2 linked regions of the Nothobranchius furzeri genome follow. The protein of the gene in region 1 interacts with the protein of each later gene in a pairwise test. Links are inferred from orthologs where the notes say so. Each region holds a gene or a part of one and is shown on either strand. Other genes may lie near its edges. The genes, in order: copb1 and copb2.

Region 1 (8,789 bases):
TCGTAGAATTAAAAGATCACGTTGAAATTCAGATCATTTCGAGTAAGACCTACAATTAGCTGGCTCATTTCAAACATGTCGTTTTTGGATCCTGCCTCTTGAAAGAATCTATAGGAACCGGAATCGAAACGATGATTTGGAATCAGAACCCTATGTAGGAGACTATTTACATGTTTGGCCTGCATAAAAACTCAAGAGTGATGGATCAAAAATAATAAGTAAAAATTGGTTTGTCAGTGAAGCTCCAGTTGAAGTTATAATAGTTCTAGGGTTTATTATCAACACGTTTATGAAGTTTTTTAGACTAAACCTCTCTCACATAAAGCAATCTGAGCAGTTGTATTCCTGACAATTTCAGCAGTTTCAGAGCTCTGTCACTTTAAATAACAAGCGGGAGCTGGATACACCCAGTCAGGCTGCTAGAAGATAAGAAGCTCTGATATCCGGGAGGAGCTAAGAGTAGAGCCACCGCTGCTCCTCCAGCAGCAGCTCTACTCTTAGAAGTGAGACGTGATCTTCACTAAAGTCCCCAAACGTGTAGGGATGGGTACCTTTGACATTTGAATTGATCCGGTACTAATTCCCGGTACCTACGAATCGATACCGGTACTTAACGGTACCAATTTTCGATACTTTTGAGTGTTTAATATTTTTAATTCTCTTTTATAATTAAATATATATTTTTCTCAACATATAACCATATTTGATAAATATCACGATAAATAACATACAACTGTTTGTATTTTAACATCGTCCTTGTAGTTTTATAAGCTGATAATTAAACTGAAGCAAACATCTTTACTGTGAACTAAATTTACTGTGTATCTTCATTCCTTTTGCCGTCCTTTTTCATTTGATTTTTCCTACTGGGAAGTTAGAATTTCCCAGGAGAAAGCGAACGCACCATTAGCTGATAACAACGGTGGCAATGGAGGCTAACATATCAAGCTAACGTTATCTTAAACAGTTTATTTAACTGCTGAAGCAGATTAAAACGATGATGCCTAACACTTAGATCGTTGTTGCTGGTTTCATCTTCACCCAATCACCCGTCGCATTTAGTAAAGTGAAGCCAAACTTTAGAGCGCGTTCATGTTCTTCTAGTCAGAAATTCGGAGTTCCGAGGAGAAAGTGAACGCACCATTAGCGAAACGGAAGCTAACATATCAAGCTAACGTTATCTTAAACATTTTATTTACCTACCGGAGCAGATTAAGATGAGGATGTCTCACTTAGATCGTTGTCGCTGGTTTCATCATCACCCAGTTACCCATCACATTTAGTGAAGTGGACCCAAGCTTTAGCGTGCATTCTTTCTATCATACTGCTCTGTTTACAACTGGCTCGCAGGGACCGACGACATAACGCTCTTGCGCATGCGCAGCTGTCTAGGCAAGTTCTCGTTAGGAAGGACGGGTACCGAAACGAGGCACCGTTTGAAACGACGTGAATCGGTGCTCGGTCGGTACTATGGAATTCGGTCGGTACCTTAAAAAGTACCGAATTCGGTACCCATCACTACAAACGTGACATCACAAACAGGAACTTTTAGAAACGGCTTGTTATAGTTTTTGGCCAAGTACTGACTGAAAAATAGATGGATGCTTTTTTTTTAATGTTTGGAGTGTTTATAGAGGCAGTAGACCCACATGACGGCGTAAAAGGATGCAAACGGTGAGCTTTGCATAACATGTCACCTTTAGTTCAACTTTTGGACAGAAGTAAACTTTTTAAAAGTATTTCAATACATTTAAGAATATCAAACTAAATAATATGTAAAAAAAAAAAAAAAAGACAGTGAAAATGTTTGAAAAACAAAGCAACACAAAAACTAAACACCTGTAACTAAACCCACCTGAAGCACACGCTCATGAGTGGGATGCTCCTTCAGTTCAATCAGACGATCGAGAACAATCAGCTTCACGTTGTTGTCGCTCTCTTTAATAATTAAATCGATGTAACACTGCGCTGCAGCCTGGAGTCCCCCCCCCCCAACAAAACCACAGAATTCATTAAAGCAGAGGAATGGCTGACTTACTCAAAAGCAGTGCAACATCAGTATCACCGGCTTATGATGCACATGAAAACCACAAATCAAATTGTGAAGCTGTACCTTGATGGCGGTGGGAGCGCTGGACAGGGTCACAAGAGTACCAGCAGCCTCATATTTAACAGCTGGACTTGAGGACTGAAGCAGGTTATAGATGCAACGAATAAATCGAGCACGCTCCGAGGGGTTAGCGTGGCAAACCTAGCCAAAGAGCACAAGAACTCAAATGTTAAATCTGTTTGCTACTTTGCCCTAAAGGCCTGACTTAGTCTAGTAAAATGCCCACTCACCTTGTAAATCAGCTCAACGATGACGAGCTGCAAGATGTCACCAAAAGTGTGAACCTGGTCAATGCATGTGCTGAGGTAATCCAGAGCGCGATCCTGTGGGGGGGGTTACACAGTTGAGCTAACAATTCGTTAGACGGATGTTATAAGGACTAAGGGAGGAGAATCTATTTTTAAATGCACCGTGAAGCAGATGTAAACGTTTCTGAATAAAAATCTAGATTCAGTAATAATAGTTTCATAACTGCGTTACAACCCTCTGAGTCCTGATTGAACCAAATCACGACAGGCCTAAAAACTCCCACCCCTAAAGCTCAGTGGTCCACCAACCTGATCTGCATGAATCAGCATCATGAAGGCGTTTCTCTTACAGCTGGCGTCCTTCTCATTCACGAGGAAATCATGAATCAATTCTGGAGCGTCTGGGATGAGATGCTCAAAGTTCCTAAAATAAAAAAGCTGATTATTGATCTGCACTGGCAGAAGATTACAAGACAGGAAAATATCGGTACCTGTAGATGGTGTAGATGGCCAGGACTGCATTTCTGCGCACGTAGCTGTGACGGTGCTCCAGGCAGGCCCGGATCGCTGGCATGAGAGGCTCAAGTAGCTCAGACTCCTTCAGCTTGCACAGGAAACGCAGAGTGGAGCCGCGGATGAACTCATTGGGATGCTGAAGGTCCTAAAATAAAAAAAGAAACGATTATTGCAATCTTGTTTTAATAAGAGTACTGAGAACAAACGTATCATTTTAGCTGTTCAGCTATTATTCCAGCTGAAAATGATGTGGAAAATAAAAACAATTCCCCAGCTTACCTTCCTGTAAGCATCACAGACAAGAATCATCTCCTGAAGCAGCTTGCCATCTGGAGTCGTCTTAGGAACAATCTCCCAGAAAACAAGGAGAAGCTTCTTGATGGTGTGGTCTTGAAGTGGCAGCACGAAGCGAATTATAGTCATGAGCAGTCCAGGCAACTTCTCACCGTTCAAGATCATGATTATGACCTTCTTCAGGGCTTCGGTCTTTGCTTTGATCTCTCCCTTTTCTGGAAGACATTAGAATTATGTCAAAACATTTCATTTGTTCAAATCTCTACCTGACGACACCTGCCTTCAGCTAACATTTTACATGAAGACGAGTTTTAAAATGTTTTGAATAGATCCAATCTTTGATCCCAGTTAAATTATTACTTTATACACAATCAGAAATTATTACAAAAGTTTACATCTTTACTACAGTTAACAAGGAAATCGTTTTGTAAAATCTCAAGAAGAAATTTTACCCAGATCTGTTTTTAAGCTGACTTCAGAAGGAGGCTCAGAGTCCGACTGAACATTGATCAGTGTGTAACAAACGTTTTCTGCAGCCGTCATTTTTGCTGCCTGTTGGACGGGGTGGATTTAGAAGAATCCCAGTAAAGTTCCCTTCAGTGTAATACCTGCAAATATGGAAAATAAATGTTAAAAAATGGCTGATAAAACAAATGCTGAATGACAAAAGATGTTGGAAATAAGTATAAAGACATCTACACAGAGGCTGGAAACAACGTGAGGAAACAAAAACACATCACATTCGTCACATTTAAACAAATCAATAAGAGAAGCAATCACTTTGAAGTTAAAGGTGCAGTATGTAAGAATATAGTGAGAATTTTGCAGTGAGAAAATCCCAAAAGAGTTTAAAGTTTCAGTGATTTTGGACGGAAGGTTATACTGAAACATGTTTCATATCCAGCTGGCTGCAGGAATTGTCAGTTTTCCTCCTTTCAAAACAAAGGAAGGAGGGACGTTACTACTGTTTACTAGTAATGCACCGATATGACATTTTTGGGCCAATACCAATATCAAGATCACTGTTCTGGCCAAAAACCAATATTTGCAGATACCGACACACTGACATCAATGCTTCTAAAATCAGCAGATTTTGTATAGAATGAAAATTATTAAAGCTGAATTTAGGTTATTATGAACACACAACACACACATTTACACTTCCGAGATGATTTCATTCACAGTTCACATGACTAAACAATCACACATCACCCCCCTCACCCTCTGAAACAGGCAAACAAATGGAGACAAGATGGAAAAAATATTGGTTGATAATATTGGCCCGTTTTTTCTTTTTTTTAATCGGACCGATACGATATGTTAAAAATGACTAACATCGGCCGATACCGATATCAATACATTGTCCATCCCTACTGTTTACCATCAGTGAGTGTGGGGTTGCTGTGTCTCCTGCGAGCTAATACTGCAGCGCCGACAATTATAATTTGACGACGGCCGGCAAAAAGCTCCAGAGTTGTTTTAAGTGGTTTCAGTAACCAAATTTTACTACACTTAATTTCTATATAATGCACCTTTAAAAAAGTATAAAACTCCTCAGTTAACTTTTTTCATTGTTTCTGCAAGAAACCTAATGAACAAAAAAGACTAACACATTGAATTAAATCAATAGCCTTCATTAAAATTGGTGTAGCAATTGGCCAGGCTGCTTTATTTGGAGGGTTGCTGGTTCAATGCTAAATCTATCTAACTGAGAGGTTTATATTAGAAATATACAACTTGAGGTGGTGCAATTTATGTTTTCATCTTGATCAAGACTTCATTCACAAACCTTGATTTTCACACATTGACTGTTGCCTTTAAGTTTTAAATTTCTGCTAAACAGTCGATGAGAGAGTTTAAACATTTTGCTGTAGTGATCAAACTGGCAATGACAAAACCTACAGCTGTAAAAAGATGAGAAATTTAAAGTTTGTTACAGGGCACCTGTCATCGCTGTAGTTACACAGGTAGATGCTATTTTTTATGATCATATGCCTCTTACCACATGATTTAAACACTTAATTTTGACAGTAGTTTTGTAACAAATAACGATAATTAAGCAGCTGTTACAGCTATAGCGAAATAAGCTAGTACGTAGCTAAGCACAAATGTCATCGCCTTTGCGTTGAATGTCTAAACGTAGATGGGCGGCACATGACAGAATTGTAAAAAAAAATAATAATAAAAACTAGTTTTGTCGTCTACACGGCTGATAATGAAATAAAATGGGAAGCTAAACAGCCACCGTTAGCCAACAGTAGCTTTAGCTTTCATCCAGGTTTGCAATGAAATGGAGGACGTTTGATAGTTGCTAACGCTGGTAGCAAAAACTGGATAAATCCACTCACGTTAGAAAATAATATGCTCCAGGACTTACCTAAAACACGGCTTTTATCCCAAACGGTCGCCTTCAATTCCCAACTTCAAATATTAGCATGAGTAAAAGAACTAGAAGAGCTCCTGGTGTTAGGGCTACCCCGTCGGCTCTCGGGTACTTCCTAGTAACGTGGAAGACTGCTCACTGAGCCACATCACTGCTACGGTGCGCCGGAAGGCTCAAACGCGCGAAAAAAAGGACAAAATCCCACATTTTACAGACATGCATATTTTCTTTTTAAAATAATTCGAATTTTTTTTTACTTAAAATGTTGTCGAAAACCTGTAACTTATTCACTTGCTCAGACTTTAATCAAACACGATTTTTTATAATGCAAAAGCACACAATAAAAACACAAGTATAAAAGTAGAGAAATTGAGTATTAATGCACCCTTTCAGTGAGAGAAAAGTCAGTTTCAACGTGTCTAGATGTATATGATTGGTGATTGTTTTGCTGTTAAATGCAAACAAATGACACTAAAACTATGGGCTGTATTTAAAACGGATTTAAAATTTCTATGTATATCAAATTTCATTTTTAACACAAATTCTGAGCATGAAATGTGATCACAGCAGTTGATCAAGGATACTTGCCATAAAAACATAAAAAAGCCGAAATATCTAAAAAATTAATAAATATAGTACTGCTAGAAGAGTTAACATTAGTAAAGATTTATACTTTACATATTACATCGATTTCCTCCTCGTGGTAAAAAAAAATCCAGTTCAGAATTTTTTTTGTTTGTTTGTTTGTTTTGCGATGTTTCTTCTGTAGCCTATAATTAAACATTTAAACACTTCTGCCAGAAAGGAACCCAACTGAATAAAGTGGCGTGCAGCGCCCTCCGGTGGAAACTAAGCTGAGTGACAACGTGGGTGCACAGAAAATTGAATGAATGAAACCGACTCCAAATTTTCAATGAAACACCTCAAAGGGTGCGGGTTGAATAGGTTTGCCAATATGTCGACAGTTACCAAAACATTTCTTTGTTGACCAAACTTAGAAGTCCAGTATATACACAAAACTACAATAAAAAAGTAGCTCTGGCTGATTTTTGCAGAATGAATTAAAAACAAAAAGGAAGAAAATAACAAGATAGAAAATATTTTAAATCAGAGTTTTTTTAACCCTCTGAGTTTTATGAAATGGTACCCAAACCTATGCATGAGGTGTTGAAGTGGTATCAAGATTACAAGCCTTTAACACTGACTGATTATTTTGTTTAACACATTTAACCACAGAGCAATCTCAGTTTACATCGTGTTCAAATGGCCAGACTGCTTTGCGTCATTAGTTCTTTGACCTTTTAGCAGACATTTAGTTGTTGCAGGAACAGGTGCAGCTAATGACATTAGAGCAGCCTCTTCTTGACCAGTGGGCCGTGTGCACAATGCAGGGTCTGACTGAATGGAATTATGTGCTGTCGTTATTAATTTTATAAACAGCAAATACACATTTCCTGCTATCTTGTGTTAAAAAGTCTGGTGAGGTAATCAAACAGCTGACTTTGACAAATCTGTTGTCTACACACACACACACACACACACACACACACACACACACACACACACACACACACACACACACACACACACACACACACACACACACACACACACACACATATCTATAAAATTGTATTTATTTTTTTGTGGCAAGAAGGAAATTAAATGAGTTAGTTGCACTGTCACTAGCTGGGTTTAGCACTTTGACTCCACACAACCATTGTGTTTAACAGTTACATAAATTCAATTGAAATTGTGCAATTAGTGACACAATAACGTAAAGACTGTTAGTTTCAATGTTACTGCCAATAACCGCCACAGTATGTTTTATTTTGAAATATCTACAGGAAGCACTAATAAGTTATGTCTTGTTCAGATTTATGAGCTTTAACAACTTGTGTCCACTAGAGGGCGGAAAAAAATCCATATTCTCAAAAGCCAGAAACTGAAGGATTGAGTTCTCGTGCTTTCATCCAGTTGACATAAATAAAACAGATATATAGACAGTACATGTCCATCAATCAAATCAAATGAAAGATTACAAGTAATTAAATTAAAAGTTTATTTAGACACAATACAGTAAAAATATATTGTCTTACTGGTTACTTTTATTTTATTTATTTGAGTTGTTCACACATTAATTTATTAAACGTAAAATCCCTGTAAGTCTAGCGTGGATTCAGTTCAGCCCTTTGGCCGCCAGAGGGCGTATGATCGGAAATGTACGTTGAGCTGAAGGTTAATGTCATAGCTCATCGATTTAATCTTGTTAAACAGATAATTTAAATAGATGTAAAGAGTTTTAGTAGTTAAGGTATAAGTGAAAACATTTTAGCTTCCCGTCATACTGACTATGCAGGTGACGATATTTTAAAATGAGTAATTTTTCAGTGGTATGTTCCATTTTGGAGTAATTTACAGGAAGCACTAATACGTTCCGTCTTGTTTAGATTTATGAATGCTGTAGTAACAGTACCTTGGTAACACCCTTCCTCAATAGGAGTCATAACGTGAAAAGATTTAACGTGCAAAACAATCATTTTAACTTTTAAGCACATGCAAAACTCTAGTATTGTACGAGTTTTTCTGCTGTGACTGGCTGAAAAGTTTACAGGTTCTCACGTGCGTGCGTGGGTTTAATCCGGGTCTTCTGAGTTCATCCCACAGTCCAATAAACGCGCATGTCAATAAACTCGGTGGGTCAAATGCATGGTTGCACGTATTTGTGTTGCACAAACATTCTCGTAAAATAACCACAGAGTTGAGTTTCGTCACATAAAACAGATCAAGCGTGATGACAAAAAAAAAAAAAAAACGGCAATAAACTGGAATTCCTGGCAGTGATTTTGCTTGTTAAACAAGTCCGTCTTCCTTTACATCCTTAAATCGGCAATCGTTCACTTTTCCAGTGGCCAGTCAGGAAAACCAAACAATCCCCGAGCAGATGGAGACACCTGAAAGAGTTTTGAGAAGCGGCGTTAGTGAGGCTGGACAAAAATAGTTTTTTATTAGAATAAAAACGAATTTAACTATGTAGTTGTTAAAAATCAGATTATTACAGTTTATTGTACATATTGCTTTGCATTGTAGCAGCAGCAGCAACAGCAACAACAATAAAATTGAAAGTTATGTCTTAAGTTAATAACTTATTTATGATTAGGCCTATCGTATTCCAAATCGATTATTTGGTTAGGGTTAGAATTGTATTACAATTTGCAACTCTCAAAGGCCTATTAGC
Region 2 (8,789 bases), on another chromosome or scaffold:
GAGAGTGGGTTTTCTCCCTTCTTTAAAAAAGAATAAAAAATTATCCCTGCCGATTGCTTAAGAGCAATAAACTCACTCATCAATAGTTATCTGGCCCTGTGCCCTCTGACTTACATAAAAGCAAGAGAACAACCTGCCCTGCCCCTTAACTTTGCCCCAGGTCTGCTCACCGCAGCATCACCACCATGCCTGCAGACTTCAATGGGAAATGGACACTGGAGAGCAGTGACAAATTTGAGGATTACTTGAAAACTCTGAGTAAGAAACTTCACTTCACATTTCTGAACATTCAGAAGAGATGAGCTGCACCTGCTGTGAGAGTGAGATGATAATATTCCGCATAATGAAAACTCTCCACGCTGCATTCCCAGATATCGACTTTGCTACTAGAAAAATTGCCATCTCGCTGTCTCAGACTAAGGTGATCGTTCAAGATGGAGACAAGTTTGACTTCAAAACGCTCAGCACGTTCAGGAATTATGAGCACGCTTTCACTGTAGGAGTGGAGTGGGATGAGTACACCAAGGGGCTGGACAACCGGCATGTCAAGGTTGGTCCACCTCTCATCTATAGGGTCTAATAATATATAATAATATAATACTATTGGCCAGTATTTTCTTAAATTCACATCAAAAGGTGCTTTTCTGTATCTGACAACCCTAAATAATCCCTGTCCTACCTCTCATAATCCCTGGGCTAAATATGCACTTTGTTATAGAAAAGTTCAGGGTCAAAATATTTTACATTTATGTTTTTTCTGGTTTCATTTAGTCTTTTTTTGTCAAAAAACACTTTTTAAAATCTTTTTTGTCTACAAAGGTTGGGGGTGTGTAATGAGTAGCCACAGAAGCTCTGATGCCCACTGATAAACTCTGAGCCAAGGGCTTAGCTGTTTGTTTCAGCTCTGGTTGTGTAATTAATAAACTATTGTGTCATTCTGGGACATCTCTGATTATCTGTGAGAGTTCATCTGTTCACTCCACTGATTTTCTTCTGCCTTTTATTATAGTGAACATTTCTTTTTGTTTTCAGCCTCCCTGTATGTGAAACAGTAATACAGGCACTCTATTTGGTCACTGGTTATGTCGTGTTAGTGGTGATGTTTGACGACGTCAGGTTTTCTTTACTTATAGTTTATTAACTAAAGGAATTACAGATATAACATAAATAACTTATTGCTAATTCAGTCTGCATCAATTAGAGAATATTTGTGATTACCCACTAGGCTGTCAAAATAAGGAGACTTGTGTACTTGTGTACTCTAATCTCTTTATTGTACTGATATTTTACTTAATTAAATAATTTGAATATAAATGTTTTTTGTAGAGTTTGGTAAGATGGGAGGGGGACACACTTGTGTGCACGCAGAAAGGAGAAAAATGCAACCGCGGCTGGAAACACTGGATTGAAGGAGACAAACTCTACCTGGTGGGTCTTGAACTACAGTCATGTTAAGGTTGCTTTATCAAATCAAAGATACTTTATTGATCCCAGAGGGAAATTAGCCATGCTGAATAATACTGAGAGTTTTTGTTTCACAGGAGCTGACATGTGAAGATGTGATTTGTGTTCAAGTGTTCAAAAGAAAATAATAGCGTCTGTCCTTATTGTCACTAGGTTGATAAAAAATAGAATCTACATGTTTTCCAAGCATTTTGAATCAATAAATGATCTTTAATTATTCATTGTGTTGTATTTTATTTGTTAGCGTGCAAATCCCTCATTCTGTCAAGGCAACAACACATGTGTTTGGAATAATTTAGAAGAGTTTTGCTTCTAGTTTAACTTTAAAAACCCAGTTCCTTTTTCTGCTTTTACTCATCTTCCTCATCATCCTTAATTTTATTATTCCCAAGAGGACAAAATGGAAGATTAACATTTTTTACAGCTTAATTAAGATAAGGAGGCTGAAATATTTTCTTCTAAATGGGTCACGGGTTCGATTCCAGCTCCCGCCAGGTGTATCCTGCTGTCGTGTCCTTGGGCAAGACACTTCACCCAACTTGCCTGTGTTAGTGGTGGTCAGAGGGGCCGACGGCGCCAAATGGCAGCCTCGCCTCTGTCAGACCTCCCCAGGGCGGCTGTGGCTACAAGTAGCTTACCATCACTAGCAGTGTGTGAATGTGAGAGTGTGTGAAAGCGTCTTTGGGTGTCTTGAAAGCGCTATATAAGTTCAATGCATTATTATTATTATTATTAAAAAAATAAAAAAAAGTACCCGCGTTCAGACACTGGAGGGCAGCAACTCCCCATCTCCCCGTCTTTTATAAATGCTGTTGGAAACCAAAGTGTTGTTCTGTTGTTTTGCCAGTAGAGGGCACAAGTTCTCCGTTCTGTCAAGGCAACAAAACATTTTATTTGGAAGAATTTAGAGAAAGTGTTTTTACTAAGTAACAATTTAAATTAAAAAATCCTGTTCCTTCTTCTGCTTCTACTCATCCTTCTTCTCATCCTTAATAGTAATACTCCCAAGAAGATTAAGATAAGGAAGCTGTGTCCAGGACGAACCAAGACCCCCAACCTTTACCCTCATGAACACATCAAAAGTGAATAATTACAAGCTTTATACAGGCATACTAAGATATACTTCTTATGCAGAGTTTTGATTATACGATTTGGTGTGTTTTGGGGCTTTTATACATTTAACTTTTGAAAATATAATCTTGGTAATCCCACACCCCACTGTAATCTTTGGGTTTCACGGATCCCAGGTTGCGAACCACTGAGTTAGAATAAATATTAAAATTACAAGCTTAAATATTGTTTAAAAAATGTCCATGTAATTCAGTAACTTTATTTGAGTTACAACAGCAACTTGCAACCTACAAAAAATAAAAAAATAAAAAAATAACTTGCAACCTACAAGCTTCCATGTCACGTCAGCAGTTCCAACACAGTTCTCGCGAGATTTCGTTTCAGGAAGTTCCACGTCAGTGTCCTGCAGAACGCTGCTCACTGAAATCGCAACATTTGGACTCGATTGGACGTTAATCGGATCTAGCAAAGACATCCAGGGCGGAAAATATGGTAAGCTGTAGTTTAGAAAGTTATAAGTGTGCTTCTTTTCGATAAATGTCACCCGAGATTCAGTTTAATCTTTAAACAAAAAGAATGAAATGCTTAAAAGAGCCTAGCGGCTAACTAGCTTAAGTTTGCATAGAATATTGTCTCTCAAACACGTTTAAACCTAAATGTTAATGTCACATATATCTATCCTTATTTTTCAACGAATTAGTCACAGATGAATGTGTGACTGATCAACTGAAATAGCGAAAAAAACAGTTTTAATTTCATTTGTTTCTGATGATTGATACATTGGTGTTAAGTTGACGTTCTGCTACTACTAGCTAACAGCAACAAAGTACAGTTTGAATAGTGTCTATTAACACATTGGGTTTATTTTTATTTAAGCCTCTGAGGCTGGACATCAAGAGGAGGCTAACAGCCAGGTCGGACCGGGTCAAGAGTGTGGATCTTCACCCAACCGAGCCATGGATGTTGGCCAGTTTGTACAACGGCAGTGTCTGTGTGTGGAACCACGAAACGCAAGTATGGAATACACCCAAAGAGTAAAACCTTTGATCTGTGCACCATATAAACAAACAAATATGTGAAAAACATCTATAAAAATCACAATCAAAGTCGATCTGTTTTTATTCCAGACTCTGGTCAAGACGTTTGAAGTGTGTGACCTGCCTGTCAGAGCTTCCAAGTTTGTGGCAAGAAAGAACTGGGTGATCACAGGAGCAGTGAGTCACAGGAATTTATTTGTTTTGAGCCTACACCTCTAAAAGCTTCTGTAATATATATATATATATATATATATATATATATATATATATGTATATATATATATATATATATATATATATGTATATATATATATATATATATATGTATATATATATATATATATATATGTATATATATATGTATATATATATATATATGTATATATATATGTATATATATATATATATGTATATATATATGTATATTAGTGTAAAACTGCTATTTGATGTTATTTTAGAGTTAAAACTTTTACTAGAAAACTTAGGAAAAACTACACTTTTCTACTTTATTCATAATTTCTTTTCTCTTCACAGGATGACATGCAGATCCGTGTGTTCAACTACAACACCTTGGAGCGGGTCCACATGTTTGAAGCCCACTCTGACTACATCCGTTGCATTGCTGTCCATCCAACTCAGCCATACATCCTCACTAGCAGTGGTACACTATTTACCCTACTAAACCTATATTTTCTACAGCTTTAAATGCAGCTGTGGCTCTGATTAGGCTTATGTATCCTTTTTTTGGGCACTTGAGCGTGATTGTGTTTTATCTTTGTGCAGACGACATGCTGATCAAGCTTTGGGATTGGGAGAAAAAGTGGACATGCAGTCAGGTGTTTGAGGGTCACACTCATTACGTCATGCAGATCGTCATCAACCCCAAGGACAACAACCAGTTTGCGAGCGCTTCTCTGGACAGAACCATAAAGGTAGATTTTTCTGTTTGTGCAAATGGATAAATGGAATGTAAAACTGTATATAAGTGTAGATTATTGTTTTTAATGAATGTGTGTAAGATCAACAGCTCCTTTATATTTGATTTGGTGCAAAGGAGTCAGTGGTAAGAAGCGTACTGTGTCTGATTATTTTTGTACAGTTCTCTCTCTCTTTGTGTTGTACAGGTTTGGCAGCTGGGCTCCTCATCTCCTAATTTCACTCTGGAGGGTCACGAAAAGGGAGTAAACTGTATTGACTACTACAGTGGAGGAGACAAGCCCTATCTGATATCAGGGGCTGATGACCGCCAAGTCAAAATTTGGGACTACCAGGTTAGAGAAGTTTTATTTGGTTATAGTTATAGTGGCATGTACACAGAATTTAAAGTAAGTCACCAAATGGGGAAAACTGCATTAATTTGAAAAAGTACAGACTATTTGTTTTATCTCGCATTAGAAAAAGCCCAAGTTAGGTATGGTGATTTTATTTTTTGGTCTTTGTAAGTTTTATCTAGCATTTCCTCTACATACATTTATATCCCTCTTTCTCTGTGTGTTGTAGAACAAGACTTGTGTTCAGACTCTGGAAGGTCATGCCCAAAATGTCTCGTGTGTCAGCTTCCACCCAGAACTACCCATAATCATCACGGGATCAGAGGATGGTGAGAAAAAATCTCCCTCAACCATAAAATCCACAGGAACGTCCTCTCCTTATGTTGTTGTTTTGTGCAATATCGTCGTCTTTCCTCTCCAGGTACGGTTCGAATCTGGCACTCGAGTACTTATCGCCTGGAAAGCACCCTGAACTACGGCATGGAACGAGTGTGGTGTGTGTGTGGCCTCAGGGGATCCAACAATGTGGCACTGGGATACGATGAAGGCAGCATCATCATCAAAGTGAGTAAAAGGAAGATTTAATCTAAAGTTGGATTAAACTAATGCCTCAAAATTAACTTTTTAAAAGAAATCCACATTAAAATGAAATAAACGGTAAAAGTAAAAATGTGTACGCTTGTTTTACTCTGCGGTGTAGGTTGGTCGGGAGGAGCCAGCCATGTCTATGGACACTAATGGCAAAATCATCTGGGCTAAGCACAGTGAAATACAGCAGGCTAACCTGAAGGCTATGGGGGATGCAGAAATCAAAGATGGGGAGAGACTGCCACTGGCTGTCAAAGACATGGGTAGCTGTGAGATTTACCCTCAAACCATCCAGCATAACCCTAATGGAAGGTAAAAACACGCGTTTCACTTGTGACAGCCCCAGAAAGTCATCACTCGTCATCCGAATTTTGTTGAATGTGGAAGAAATTCTGTTGATTTGTCGTTGTTATGTGTGTACTAGATTTGTTGTTGTGTGCGGAGATGGAGAGTACATCATTTATACTGCCATGGCTTTGAGGAACAAGAGCTTCGGCTCAGCTCAAGAGTTTGTCTGGGCACACGACTCCTCCGAGTACGTCCACACGGAAAAGATGTTTTTATCATCCTTCTGGGTGGTGATTTTGAGTCACTGTTGTTTAACATTTGCTGTTTGTCTTCCTTTAACAGATACGCCATCAGAGAGAGCAACAGTGTTGTCAAAATCTTCAAAAACTTCAAAGAAAAGAAATCTTTTAAGCCAGATTTTGGAGCAGAAGGTAATCAGACGAGTGCCGTTGGCTAGATTTCCAGATTGAAGACGGTCGTTTTATTCACTGGATCTGCATTTCTGCTCTGCAGGGATCTACGGGGGGTTCTTGCTGGGAGTTAGGTCGGTGAACGGACTGGCGTTTTACGACTGGGAGAACACAGAGCTGATCCGTCGCATTGAGATCCAGCCCAAGCATGTAAGACTTGAGTTACCTTGTCCTTTTACATACATGATACTCTATTTGAATCACGCTTTAAATGTTTTAGTCTGATTTTTCTTTTCTTTTTTTTTTTTTTTGGCTTGTTCAGATCTTTTGGTCAGACTCGGGGGAATTGGTCTGCATTGCTACGGAGGAGTCCTTCTTCATTCTACGTTACCTGGCAGAGAAAGTAGCCGCCTCCCAAGAAAACAACGAAGGTGTGACAGAGGACGGGATTGAAGATGCCTTTGAGGTCAGTGTGTAGATGAATGCCCGTTGCGGGAAGCCCGTATTTTTAACGCATTGTTCACCTGGCAGCTGTGTCTCTTTGCAGTGTTTGTAGCACGTTCCTAATAAACTAGAGGGAGCTGTTTTAAACTGACAGTTACTGAGCCGTACTGGTGTGTCTTTTGCGTGTATTATTTGCTAACCTTTTGTATGAATGTCCTATCCTCAGGTCCAGGGGGAGATCCAGGAGATTGTGAAGACTGGACTTTGGGTGGGAGACTGCTTTATCTACACCAGCTCTGTGAACAGACTCAATTACTTTGTAGGAGGAGAAATTGTGACTATTGCACATCTGGACAGGTAAGAACAGGTTGTTTAGGCCTTACTTATATAGGATAAGACCATGCAAGCACTACATTTACATTTATCAGAAAAAAGCAGTTCAGCGTCGATAAACGGACAGTCACACCTAGATAAAGAAGTAACACTAAACACTGGTGCGTAGTTCCATCCACAGTTTTTATTGTCCTTGCAGAACCATGTACCTGCTGGGTTACATACCAAAGGATGACCGGCTGTACCTCGGAGACAAGGAGCTCAACATAGTCAGTTATTCACTGTTGGTCTCTGTCCTGGAATACCAGACTGCTGTAATGAGAAGGGACTTTGGAATGGCAGACAAGGTGCTACCAACTATTCCTAAAGAGCAGAGGACCAGAGTGGCTCATTTCCTGGAGAAACAGGTGATGAAAACCCATAAAGACCTGCAATTATTTAATTTTTTATTTATTTTGCTCCTCATCAATGAACAGATGTGGTTTTAATTTGACACTGATGGTTTTATTTGTCTCGTCAGGGCTTCAAGCAGCAGGCTCTGGCGGTGTCTACAGACCCGGAGCACAGATTTGAGTTGGCCCTGCAGCTGGGAGAGCTGAAGATCGCCTACCAGCTGGCTGTCGAAGCAGAGGTTAGAGCTTTTGTCTCCTCACGTCGTTTTCTCGTTACTTTTCCAAACACTTTTTGTATTTGTGACTCATGTCATCACTGCTAACAAAATGTGTTTCTCTGCAGTCGGAGCAAAAATGGAAGCAGCTTGCAGAGCTGGCCATCAGTAAGTGCCAGTTCGGCCTGGCCCAGGAGTGCCTGCACCACGCTCAGGATTACGGTGGCCTGCTGCTCCTCGCCACAGCTTCTGGTAATGCCACCATGGTGGGCAAGCTGGCCGAAGGGGCAGAAAGAGACGGCAAGAACAACGTGGCCTTCATGACCTACTTTCTTCAGGGGAAGTGAGTATTTGATGTGGTGACAAACATGGTGTGCAGTAATTATAAGAAGATTCTGGATCATGTACGTACATATTCTTCTCTAGATTGGACCAATGTTTGGAGCTTCTGATCAGGACTAACAGACTTCCAGAAGCTGCCTTCCTGGCTCGCACATACCTGCCCAGCCAGGTGTCGCGTGTAGTCAAATTGTGGAGGGAGAATTTAGCCAAAGTCAACCAGAAGGTCAGATCTGGCATCAAGATCTTTGATTATATGATTTGCAAAGAGAAAAGTAGTTTGGACGCTTTAACCAAGCCTCTGTTGCAGGCAGCTGATTCATTAGCCGACCCTACCGAGTACGAGAATCTGTTCCCTGGGCTGAAAGAAGCGTTTGCAGCTGAATATTACCTGAGGGAAAGCTGCTTGGGCAGCTCCAGACCTGCTAAAGATTATCCTCTTGTTACAGTAAGTTTGACCTCTTAAAGAGCAAGTCACCCCCTACCAGTCTTACACCACTCCCACTTCCTGTTTGAAAAATGCAACAAATGCTGTTGCCTGGCAGACCGAGAGGGCGGAGCTGCTAACAAATACACACACAGGTTCACAAGGTCATTGTGACATCATAATGTCCCAGCTAACATCATAGTGTACCTCTTAGCCAAAAGCGATGGCAGATTTGAATTGAAATGCAGTGCAGAGTTTTTACCTGAAGAGGGCACAACACTGACAGTTTTAGACAGAATATTTAAATTTGAACTAAGATGCACTCAAGTGCCAAATTATTGACTACATGTGTCTTCAGCATGATTAGATACTCATTTATGTAGTTTGTCAGCAAAATAAAGTTGATTTGGAGGTGACTTGCTCTTTAAGTAAATTTTATTTTTAGAAGAAAGCACCAGCCAATCCTAAATACTGTAACTATTTTAACTTTTTTTTATATTATTATTTCAC

The links.
Region 2: the proteins of copb1 (region 1) and copb2 interact in a two-hybrid assay, tested with the Homo sapiens proteins (2 studies listed by BioGRID, with this or other methods). The link is inferred for Nothobranchius furzeri from reciprocal best matches to the Homo sapiens genes COPB1 and COPB2.

The regions. Positions count from the first base shown.
Region 1 is NC_091749.1:61,888,552-61,897,340, forward strand, and holds the start of copb1 (coatomer subunit beta), read right to left. Parts: upstream 5,703-8,789; 5' UTR 5,546-5,702; intron 3,777-5,545; 5' UTR 3,712-3,776; coding exon 3,621-3,711; intron 3,384-3,620; coding exon 3,154-3,383; intron 3,020-3,153; coding exon 2,850-3,019; intron 2,783-2,849; coding exon 2,668-2,782; intron 2,434-2,667; coding exon 2,341-2,433; intron 2,252-2,340; coding exon 2,114-2,251; intron 1,976-2,113; coding exon 1,856-1,975; intron 1-1,855. UniProt on the Homo sapiens protein: The coatomer is a cytosolic protein complex that binds to dilysine motifs and reversibly associates with Golgi non-clathrin-coated vesicles, which further mediate biosynthetic protein transport from the ER, via the Golgi up to the trans Golgi network.
Region 2 is NC_091751.1:58,293,204-58,301,992, reverse strand, and holds the start of copb2 (coatomer subunit beta'), read left to right. Parts: upstream 1-2,895; 5' UTR 2,896-3,024; coding exon 3,025-3,027; intron 3,028-3,411; coding exon 3,412-3,549; intron 3,550-3,662; coding exon 3,663-3,749; intron 3,750-4,106; coding exon 4,107-4,233; intron 4,234-4,355; coding exon 4,356-4,504; intron 4,505-4,696; coding exon 4,697-4,843; intron 4,844-5,072; coding exon 5,073-5,172; intron 5,173-5,264; coding exon 5,265-5,407; intron 5,408-5,543; coding exon 5,544-5,743; intron 5,744-5,855; coding exon 5,856-5,966; intron 5,967-6,061; coding exon 6,062-6,150; intron 6,151-6,232; coding exon 6,233-6,339; intron 6,340-6,451; coding exon 6,452-6,595; intron 6,596-6,799; coding exon 6,800-6,930; intron 6,931-7,105; coding exon 7,106-7,313; intron 7,314-7,426; coding exon 7,427-7,537; intron 7,538-7,641; coding exon 7,642-7,856; intron 7,857-7,939; coding exon 7,940-8,078; intron 8,079-8,162; coding exon 8,163-8,300; intron 8,301-8,789. Other genes in the region: retinol-binding protein 2-like, read left to right, coding at 186-258, 372-550, 1,327-1,428, 1,542-1,592. UniProt on the Homo sapiens protein: The coatomer is a cytosolic protein complex that binds to dilysine motifs and reversibly associates with Golgi non-clathrin-coated vesicles, which further mediate biosynthetic protein transport from the ER, via the Golgi up to the trans Golgi network.